Linked DNA regions of Mus musculus: region 1 is reported to be linked to region 2. The links are microRNA targets in miRTarBase. Many come from high-throughput screens and were not tested one by one. Region 2 holds a microRNA gene; the other region holds the end of a gene's coding sequence.

Region 1 (5,556 bases), not on the chromosome of region 2:
GTTGAGCTTCCCTCATTTCAAATAGTCCTAGCTTCTGTTCTGTTGACATAAAATCAGCCATCACAACTTTTATGTGAATTTCTACTGGATCATTTACTGGTGTGATAACTTAGGACTTTTGCTTTCTAGGCTCATGTGCAATGGGACAGTAGACACCTATGGTTTTCATTAGAAGGTAGATAGAAAATTAATTAATGTGCTTAGAAGATGCCTGGCGCCAAGCTGGGTGTTTGTCTTGGCTAGGTTTCTAGTGTTGTGATAAAACACCATGACCAAAAGCAACTTGGGGTGGAAAGTGTTAATCTCAGCTTACATATCCACATCATAGTCTGTCATAAAATAAATAAATAAATGAATAAGTCAGGACAGGAACTTAAAGGCAGGAACTGAGGCAGAAACCACTGGCTTCTCTCACAGTGGCATTCTCTTATAGAACTCAAGGCCACCTTCCCAAGGGTGATGCCACCCACCATGAGCTGGGTCATTCCACATTAGTCATGAATTAAGAAAAATGCCCACAGGCCGATCCTAATTGGGGCATTTTCTCATTTGAGGTTTCCTCTTTCCAAATGACTCTAGCTTGTGTCAAGCTGGCATAAAACTAGCCAGCACCACACCCAGTGAAGATTGTTGGCAGTGCTGTAATTGTCTTTATCTAAGTGATTAGTACAATGATGTCATAGTCTAGATAGAGCAGCTAACTATACAATGGACAAAGGGTAATAGGGGATTAGTTTGTGTTATGCATGCTAACTGCATGCTTCTGCAACTGGATTTATCAGTCACACAATGAACTGTGTGTGACTTTTGGCAAGTTTCTTCCCTTTTCCATGCTTCTAGCTCCTAGCTGTAAAATAAAGACACTGAACTATATCGACGTAGCAAATAACTTTAATCCCTTATGTCAACTCTAGTTGATCTCTTATGGGCACCTGGAAAACAGATTTGAAAGGCTTCTGAGGCCTGGCCTGGAATCAGTTGATAAGTATGCTGTGATCTGTTAGCAATGCCCATGATGGACAAGGAGACCAACGGCAACTGTGCTGACATTTTCCAGGCCTCAACAGAACGGTCTTCAGGGCCTTCCCTAGCTCCCTCGATTTGTTTTCTGGGTCTGCTTAATGGATGTGTGAGGCTATAGGTGACAGCCTATTCTTTTCGAGGATTCTGAACAGACAGTGTCTTTGGAATGGGAATAGAGGTGAATAGCCCTGTCAAGAATCTGAAAGCCTGTCAGAAAGTTATAAGGCCTCCTCTGAATGAGACAAAGGTTTCTTTGAGACCTCATTGTAATTTAAGCATTTAAATAAATAAATAAATAAATAATCAATCCACTAGGGGGGAGATGGGATGGTCCCCTGAAGTTTTGAAGAATATCTTGTTCAGGGATGCCTGGTAGGTTGAGGTGTCTGGTCTTGTAGGTTTCTGACAGTAGCATGTAGGGAATCTAAATGGACATTGGAAGTAGTGACTTCCTGATCTGCACGGGAAGTTACAGGTCTTGAATGACTAGTGTATGACTATGAATATGGAGCACAGATAGAATATTTTAGAAACCAATTTAGCCACTTTCAATATTCAGAGTATGAGGCAGAGGGGGTCTGTCTTCAGTAGTTCTCAGTGAACTTCAGCAATGGGGTTTGACTTCCAGGAGCCTTCTGCAGGATGCTCAGGTGTGGATCTCTTTTCAGGTCTCTGTTCTCATAAGGCAAAACAAGATAACTCCTTTATCCACTGGCATTTTATCGTCTTAAGCACAAGTGTCTTTCCAAGGGCTTTGAGGTCCCCACCTTACCTGTGCAAGCTTTTTTGATTTGACAGCAGGTCTTTCTTCTCACATACTGCCTCACTCTCAGCATCACATGGCTGACATGCCCTTCTCCTTTGAGCTTCACTACAGAGAGCTGCAGTGGCTGTGAACTCAGGTCTCTGCAGGAGCAGAAATCACCTGCCTGTCACCACACGGTTACGCTACTTTTAATGGAAGCATGCCATTTCAGATGACTTTCTCTGAAGCAACACTACACGTGCCTTTTGCCCTGAGCGCCTCCTCCAGTCTGGCGCTCTGGCGGAAGGACGTTCTTACAGGGGACTCTATGAATAGGATGGCAGTAATAAGCAGCTGAAAATAATCTGTGAGGCGTTTGTAAATTGCCCCTCGTGAGCTGCAGTGCTCATGAAAGATAATTTGTGGTTCTTGCAGAATACCCTGAAAACTGGGTCTTTCATCTGCTGTGCATTTTGCAATTAAAACATTTCATTTCTCATATTAGCAAATGATAACTCCACATTTGTTCATCTAAACAACTTGATTTATATTTTTCTGTTCTGAGGAGCTGTTGACATTTCAGAGTAAGTAATTATTTTCACTGCCAACTGCTGTGTGTGGTGACTGTAGGCAAATGATAGAAATCTGAGTCTACAGATGCATCACTTAACTCCTCGTGCTTAAAGACTACCTATTAAGCCAGAGGCCTTTTGCGTGGGTTATCATCTGTACATCGACATCTAATAGGATCAGGGTGTTGACAGGCGAGGGTTTGCGCCACGTTCATGGTTTGCGCAGTGTACTAGAAACTCTTTTATGTAATCTCTGAGAGGAGAGGGCAAGGCTGATCTGCAGCATCGCCAAACCACTGACAGGGCAGAGTACACTTGCAGTCCTAAATCACTTGTTAGAGGAGGTATGTACTGCTGGCCTTGGGAGTTCTTAGGGCATGTGCTAGCTGCCCAAGACTCCACGGGGCGAGTGTCAGAATTCTATGAGGAATGCTCATGAGAACAGTGAGCCATGCCTGCTAACAGCGTGAGCTTGAAGAACATTTGGCCAAATCAAGAGGAAGAGTAAAGGAACTTTCTCAATTTCCTCTCGCATTATGTTTTTGGCCAAAAGGAAAAAAAAAAAGGTGCAGTTAGGACAATGGAAAGAAATGCTTTTTTTTTTTTTAGTTTGAAAGTAGTTGCTACATCCTTAGAATAGAAACTCAGTCACACAGTTGAATTGAGCTACCTTGGCACAAAAGAGAGATGTCAGGGCAAATGACAGCCCATGCAGCTGTGGGCCTTTGCTGGGAAATCTTGGTGTGCTGTTCCCTTACACGTTATAATTTTTAATGCATATTAATTACATGCACTAATGGGGTTCATTGTGACCATTCACATTTAAACTTCTTCTGCTATTAAAAAAAATTATGTAGCTGAATTGATACTCCAAAATGACAGTCTGCCCTTAGCCCACTGGTATATACAAGGTTTCCATTGCTTATAGCACACTCAACAGCTGTCCATCCCAACATGTGCACATCCCATTTATATTCCGGTTGAGGAGTAGACAACTGACTGGGGATCCAAACCAATTTTTACATGGCCTTGAGGGGTGAAGTCGAGCCAGTACCCTGAATGGCAAATGTGCTTTATCCTTTGAACCAACTCCAATTGATTAGTTCTGGTTGCCTATAGTGCTGTCTTAAGAAACCATCTGTGGTATATTTGAGGCTCAGCTGGGAAAAGAGCTGGGATTGATTAGCAATGTCTGTCATGGGCTCTAGAGGAACAGCTTGCCCCATATTTGTCATTTTCTGCCTTTAACATGTCTTTAACTCCTCTGTGCTCTCTTCCTGTGCAAAAGAGTTATAATCCTAAAATGTGCCTGTAGTGTAAACAGAAAGAGTAGGTATAGGTATATTCCACTTTAAGAAACCCTAGCATAGAAATGCAAATTTGGAAAAAAAATGCATCAATCTGGAGCCAATTATTTCCATTACAGAAAAGATTCCATGAAAGGTTCCTTTAAATAGCGAGCTCCCCTGCTGCATTCAAATGATGATTCAATTTATAAAAATTCACTTTGCATGCAACTCTCTCAGACTAAGTCTGTGGACTCTGCAAGCCATACCTGAACTTTTTAAAGCCATGCTGAAGCACTAGCCAGGATGTCTGCCCTCCAGTGCCTCGAGTCCCGCGCCCACCCCCCAGTAACTCCCACTCCCCCTCAAACTTCCTTCTTATTTCCTATCCCAGAGTGTTGAGCATACAATCTGGGTGGTGATCAACAGCTACTGGCTCCCACCCGACACGGCTGCATTTCATTAGTGGGTAAGCTGATTGCTCCAAGGGTGTTTATGTGTGGGTGTAGCTGTACAAATCCATGCCCTCTGTGCACTGCAGATGTAGATGTGGATGCAGAGACACAGCCACCATTCAGCCTAAGCAAAAGCCATCCCTGCTGGGAGAGTTCTAGGATAAGGTTCCCATTGCTTGGTGGATATGGTCTCTTGATGATATCTGCCCTGTATTCTAGTTTACTATTCTCTCTGTGTTCCTTCACATCAAAACCTTGCCCAGGCTCCGGGCCTGAGTCCCATTATCCAGACATGGAACCTTCATCTTCCCCTGCAGCTTAGAGAGCCCCAAATGGTTTTCTGATTTAGAAAATTAAATATAATCTGAGTCTTGTGGCCAGCTATGAAATTCCCAACCAACAGACATTTCCACTAAATGTGTAACATACGCAACATCTCAACATCCTACCAATCTAGCATGAACTGGAATTAAGAGGCAGCCAGTACGGGTCGGGTAAGAGCACTAGCCAATTCCCAGGCACTCCAACTGGTGGCCCCAGAGCTCTTAAAAATGCCTATTGGCACACATGTCCGAATTCTTATTGCTCTGCAGAATCCAGCTTAATCCAGAAACAGGTACCTAAAAGAGATGGCGTCGCTCTTCTTTTTGTTCCTACACATAGACTTCTTGTCATATCTTCTCAGTTGCAAGATATGAGTGTGTCTATTATATCTATGGTATTTAAACTTCTTCCTACTGAGTACTTTGTTTTATTTTTTGGATACATTTTTTCCTTAGTTGTTTTGGAAGATAAAACATGGGACAGGAGCATCGAACACATCAAGCTCACTCAGATATTTCTTCCGGGCCCTCAGTGATCGAGGGGACCTTGGAAATGAAGGCTCTCAGGCTGATGAACTGTCCATAAGTTCCTTACTTCCCATCTTCTCAGACTTCCTGGCTGATGCCAAGGGTCTCCCTTGGTACTGGGCTGTGATGGCTGCATAGGTACATCCATAGATAGCAGCCGCCAACATCATGAGACATACGATCCCACATACTACCCCAGTGATGACCACAGTAGCCACAGCATGGCGCAGGTTGGTTGGCTTTGGTTTGGGTTTGGCCTCACACTCCAAGGGATCTTGCTGTCCTGAGCTATTCTCATGAGACTTCTGGGCATCTTGCGGGGCAGAACCAGGCTGCTGGACTAGTGAGGGTGCCAAATCCTGAGAAGGTAGAGAACAGGGTTGGTACAGTTCGTGAGGAATGGAGAGGAGAGCCTTTCCCTGCCAGGGTTCAGGCAGCCTGCAGATGGCACCATCTGTTTCTCCCCCTTCAAGAAACAAAGCAAAGAATGATGATGGAGCTTTGATACAGCAGTATTCCAAAGTCCTCAGCCTGCCACAGAGTAAATAGACAATTATTTATGGCTAGGAATTTGTTAGGAAGCAAGTTACTTTAATATTATATAAAGGCTGAGGGGACCACTGG
Region 2 (5,000 bases):
CAGTCACCCCATGGAAATGTTTGCCAGAGTTATGAGGATCAAATCCATGCTTAACTTCATGAAGAGTTAGAGATCAGCCTGGATTCATGTGATGCGCTCTATGTATGTGCATGTGTGTTTATGTGTGTGTGTATGTGTGTATATGAATATATGTATACACACATATGCACACACACAACACACACACACACACACACATGAATGTTACTCATTGATCCATTTGAATGATAAGTGACTTAGAGTTTTAGAGATGCTGCAGTACTGGGCCACCAAGGATATGCATGTGTGTATAGTTGTGTGCATATTCATTTTTCTATATGAATATGCATATACACGCATGCACACACACTCACAGGAATGGCCAGAGCTATGTCTCAGGTAGGAGGTGAATATTCTTGCCAGTGTCAGGAGGCTACAGAGTTCAAATTCATGCTTAACTTCATGAAGAGTTAGAGATCAGCATGAGATTCATGTGATGCCCACCAAGAAAGTGCATGTGTGCATAGTTGTGTGCATATTCACTTCTCTATGTGAATATGCATATGCACGCATGCACACACGAATGGCACTCATATATCCTTTTGAATGATATGTGACTCAGAGCTTTAGAGCTTATGCAGTACCAGGTCAGAGCTATGTCTCAGTTAGGAGGTGAAATCCCTTGCCAGAGTCAGGAGGTCCTGGAGTTCAAATTCATGTTTAACTTCATGATGAGTTAGAGATCAGCATGCGATTCATGTGATGCCCACCAAAAATGTGCATGTGTGTATAGTTGTGTGCATATTCATTTCTCTATATGAATATGCATATACACACATGTACACACATGTACACACCCACACCCACCCACCCACACACACCACTTAGAGTAATGGCATCATATATCCTTTTGAATAATATGTGACTCAGAGCTTTAGAGCTTATGCAGTACTGGGCCAGTGTGTTGTTTCACTCGTTAGCTGAATACTTTTGCCACAGTCAGTATGTTTCAGAGTTCAAATTCATGGTTAAATTCATGATGAGTTAGAGATCAGCCTGGGATTCATGTCATGCCCCCCATGTATGTGCATGTGTTTATACTTGTGTGTGCATGTACATGTGTGCATATCAATATATGTACACATACACATACAGACGCACACACATACATGCAGGAATGTCACTTGTCAATCCATTTGAATGATATGTGACGTAGAGCTTTGGAGATTATGTAGTATTGAGTGAGGGTGAGGCTTCAAATACCAGGCTAAAATCCTTGCCAGAGTCAGGAGGATCAGGAGTTGAAATTCATGCTTAACTTCATCAAGAGTTAGGGATCAGCCTGTATCATGTGATGCAGCTTATGTATATACGTGTGTGTTCATGTGCATGTGTGTATAATATAAATATAAATATACATACACACTAACATAGACATGCACGCGTGGAAAAACACACATGAATGGCACTTATCAATCCATTTGTATGATATGTAAATTAGATCTTTCAATACTATGTAATACTGGGCCAGTGAGACATCTCACTCACTAAGTAAAAACGCTTGCCAGAGTCAGGAGAATAAAGAGTTCAAATTCATAATTAACTTCATGAAGATTTAGAAATCATCCTGGGATTTATGTGATGGCCCCTATGTATGTGCCTGTGTGTGTTCTTGTGTGTGCATGTGCATGTGTGTATATGAATATACATATACATACACACATACACACGCACGTACACACACACAAACACACACATACAGGAATGGCACTTATCAATCCATTTGAATGGTATGTGACTTAGAGTTTTAGAGATTATGCAATAGGGGACAGTGAATGTTCTCACTCACCAGGTGTAAACGATTGACAGAGTCAGGAGGATCAGAAGTTCAAATTCATGCTTACCTTCAGTTAGAGATCATCCTGGTATTCATATGTATGTGCATGTGTGTTTACGTGTGTGTGCATGTGCATGTGTGTATATGAATATACATACACATACACACACACATACACACACATGCAACACACACATATGAATGACACTCACTGATCACTTTTAATGATATGTGACTTATAGTTTTAGAGATTATACAGTACTGGGCCAGTGAATGGTCTCACTCAGAAGGTGAAAATGCTTGCCAGAATCAGGAGAATCAGGAATTCAAATTCATGCTCAACTTCCTGAGAATTTAGAGATTAGTCTGTGATTCATGTGATGCCCCCCATGTATGTGCCTGTGTGTATAGTTGTGTGTGCATGTGCATGTGTGTATATGAATATACATATACATACACACACACGTATAAACGCAAGCACAAACACACACAGAGGAATGGCACTCGTTGATCCATTTGAATGATATGTGACTTAGAGCTTTAGAGATTATGTAGTATTGGGCCACTGAAACTTTTCATTCACCAGGGAAGGCTTGCCAGAGCATCAGTATCCAGAGTTCAAAATCATGCTTAACTTCATAATGAGTTAAAGATCAGCCTGGGATTCATGGGCTGTACCCTATATATGGGCAGGTGTGTGTCTTGTGTGTGCATGTTCATTTGTGTATATGAATATGAATATACACACACTTACACACTCATGCACACACACACACATCCATTTGAATGATATGTGTCTTAGAGCTTGAGAGTTTAGGCAGGACAGTGCCAGGGAGAGATCTCACTCACCAGGTAACAATGTTTGCCATACTCAGGAGGATTAGGAGATGAAATTCATGCTTAATTTCATGATGAGTTAGACATCAGCCTAGAATTCATGGGATGTCCCCCATGAATGTATGTGCATGTGTATATAGTTTTGTGTGCATGTGCATGTGTGTCTATTAATGTACATATACATACACACAAACATATACACGCATGCGCAGATACAGACACAGAAATGGCTTTCATCGATCCATTTGTATAATATGTAAATTTACTGGGCCAGTGAGACATCTCACTCACCAGGCAAAAACATTTCTCACAGTCAGGAGAATCAGGAGTTCAAATTCATAATAACTTCATGATGAGTTAGAGATCAGCCTTGTGTTAATGTGATGACCCCTATGTATGTGCATGTGTGTATATTTATGTGTGCATGAAAATGTATGTATATATGAATATACATATACATACATACCCACACAAACATGCACACACACACAAACACACCCACAATTGCCACTTACCAATCCATGTGAATGATATGCAACCTAGAGGTTAGAGATTGAGTATTCCTTTGCCCAAAAGAGCTCTCTCTCTCTCACCAGGTGAAAATGCTTGCAGAGTAAGGAAGAACAGCAGTAAAAATTTATGCTTAATTTCATGATGAGTTAGAGATCAGCCCGGGATTTGTGTGTTGCTTGCTCTATATGTGTGTATACTTGTGTGTGCATGTATATGTGTGTATATGAATATACATATACATACACACCCATATACACACGCATGCATGCACACACACAAATACATATACACAGGAATGGCACTCATCGATCCATTTGAATGATATGTGACTTAGAGTCTTATAGATTATGCAGTAGTGTGTCAATGAACGGTCTCACTCACCAGGTGAAAATGGTTGACAGAGTCAGGAGGATCAGGAGTTCAAATTCATGATTAACTTCAGTTAGAGATCATCCTGGCATTCATGTGATGCCACCCATGTATGTGAATGTGTGTTTACGTGTGTGTGCATGTGCATGTGTGTATATGAATATATGTATACATACACACACACATACACACTCATGTAACACACACACACACACACACACGAATGGCACTCATTTATCCATTTGAATGATATGTGACGTAGAACTATAGAGATTATGTAGTACTGGGCCAGTGAGTGCTCTCACTTTCTAGTTGAAAATGCTTGCCAGAATCAGGAGAATCAGGAGTTCAAATTCATGCTTACATTCATGAGGATTTAGAGATCAAACTGTGAATCATGTTTTGCCCCCCATGTTTGTGCATGTGCGTATAGTTGTGTGTGCATGTATATGTGTGTATATGAATATACATATACATACACACCCATATATACACGCATTCATATGAACACATCAACACACACGCAGGAATGGTATTCATCGATTTATTTTATTGATATGTGATTTAGAGCTTTAGAAATTATGTAGTACTGGGCCAATGAAACTTTTTACTCACCAGATATAAACGATTGGTATAGTCAGAAAGATCTGGAGTTCAAATTCATGCTTAACTTCATAATGAGTTAGAGATCAGCCTGGTATTCCTGGGATGTACCCCGTGTATGTGCATGGGTGTATAGTTTTGTGTGCATTTGCCTGTTTGTATATGAATATACATATCCATACATACAATCATATACAGGCACACAAAGACACACAGACATGAATGGCACTCAGTGATTCATTTGAATGATATGTCACCTCAAGTTTTGGAGGTTATGCAGTACTTGGCCTGAGAGGGGTCTCAGTCAGCAGGTGATAATGTTTACCAGAGTCAGTAGGCCCAGGGCCTGGCAAACGCAGAAGTGGATGCTCACAGTCAGCTATTGGATGGATCACAGAGCCCACATTGGAGGAGCTAGAGAAAGTACCCAAGGAGCTGAGGGGATCTGCAACCCTATAGGTGGAACAACAATATGAACTAACCAGTACGCCCCGGAGCTTGTATCTCTAGCTGCATATGTATCAGAAGATGGCCTAGTCGGCCATCAGTGGAAAGAGAGGCCCATTGGTCGTGCAAACTTTATATGCCTCAGTACAGGGGAACGCCAGGTCCAAGAAGTGGGAGTGGGTGGGTAGGGGAGTTGGGGGGGGAAGGGTATGGGGGACTTTTGGGATAACACTGGAAATGTAAATGAAGAAAATACCTAATAATAAAAGAGTTCAATTTTATCCTTAACTTCACGATGAGTTAGAGAGGAGCCTGAGATTTTTGTGATGATCCCGTGATGTATGTGTGTATATTAATATACATATACATAAACTCATACATACACATACATGTGACACCCACATATGAATGGCAC

Evidence for each region. Region 2 holds the annotated microRNA mmu-miR-669f-5p (AGUUGUGUGUGCAUGUGCAUGUGU, at 2,226-2,249, shown strand). A microRNA usually pairs through its seed, bases 2 to 8, with sites in the 3' UTR of a target mRNA and lowers its output. Matches are read on the target gene's strand: a 7mer-m8 pairs with bases 2 to 8, a 7mer-A1 pairs with bases 2 to 7 and ends in A, and an 8mer does both.
Region 1: the mRNA of Lrtm1 is a reported target of mmu-miR-669f-5p. Seed matches in the 3' UTR shown: 7mer-A1 at 252-258.

The regions. Positions count from the first base shown.
Region 1 is chr14:29,027,166-29,032,721 of GRCm38, reverse strand. Lrtm1 (leucine-rich repeats and transmembrane domains 1) reads right to left here. Exons shown (of 3, transcript NM_176920.4): 3 at 1-5,398. The coding sequence ends at 4,968. All of the region lies in intron 27 of Cacna2d3 (calcium channel, voltage-dependent, alpha2/delta subunit 3), which reads left to right. Among named protein-coding and RNA genes, the nearest start is that of Lrtm1, 12 kb to the right of the region's middle.
Region 2 is chr2:10,465,023-10,470,022 of GRCm38, forward strand. Mir669f (microRNA 669f) reads left to right here and starts at 2,207; the gene lies at 2,207-2,327. The region is part of intron 10 of Sfmbt2 (Scm-like with four mbt domains 2); the gene reads left to right. It overlaps Mir466m (microRNA 466m), which reads left to right and starts at 1,641; the gene lies at 1,641-1,724. It overlaps Mir466f-1 (microRNA 466f-1), which reads left to right and starts at 1,922; the gene lies at 1,922-2,015. It also overlaps Mir669e, Mir669b, Mir669d, Mir466f-2 and Mir669l.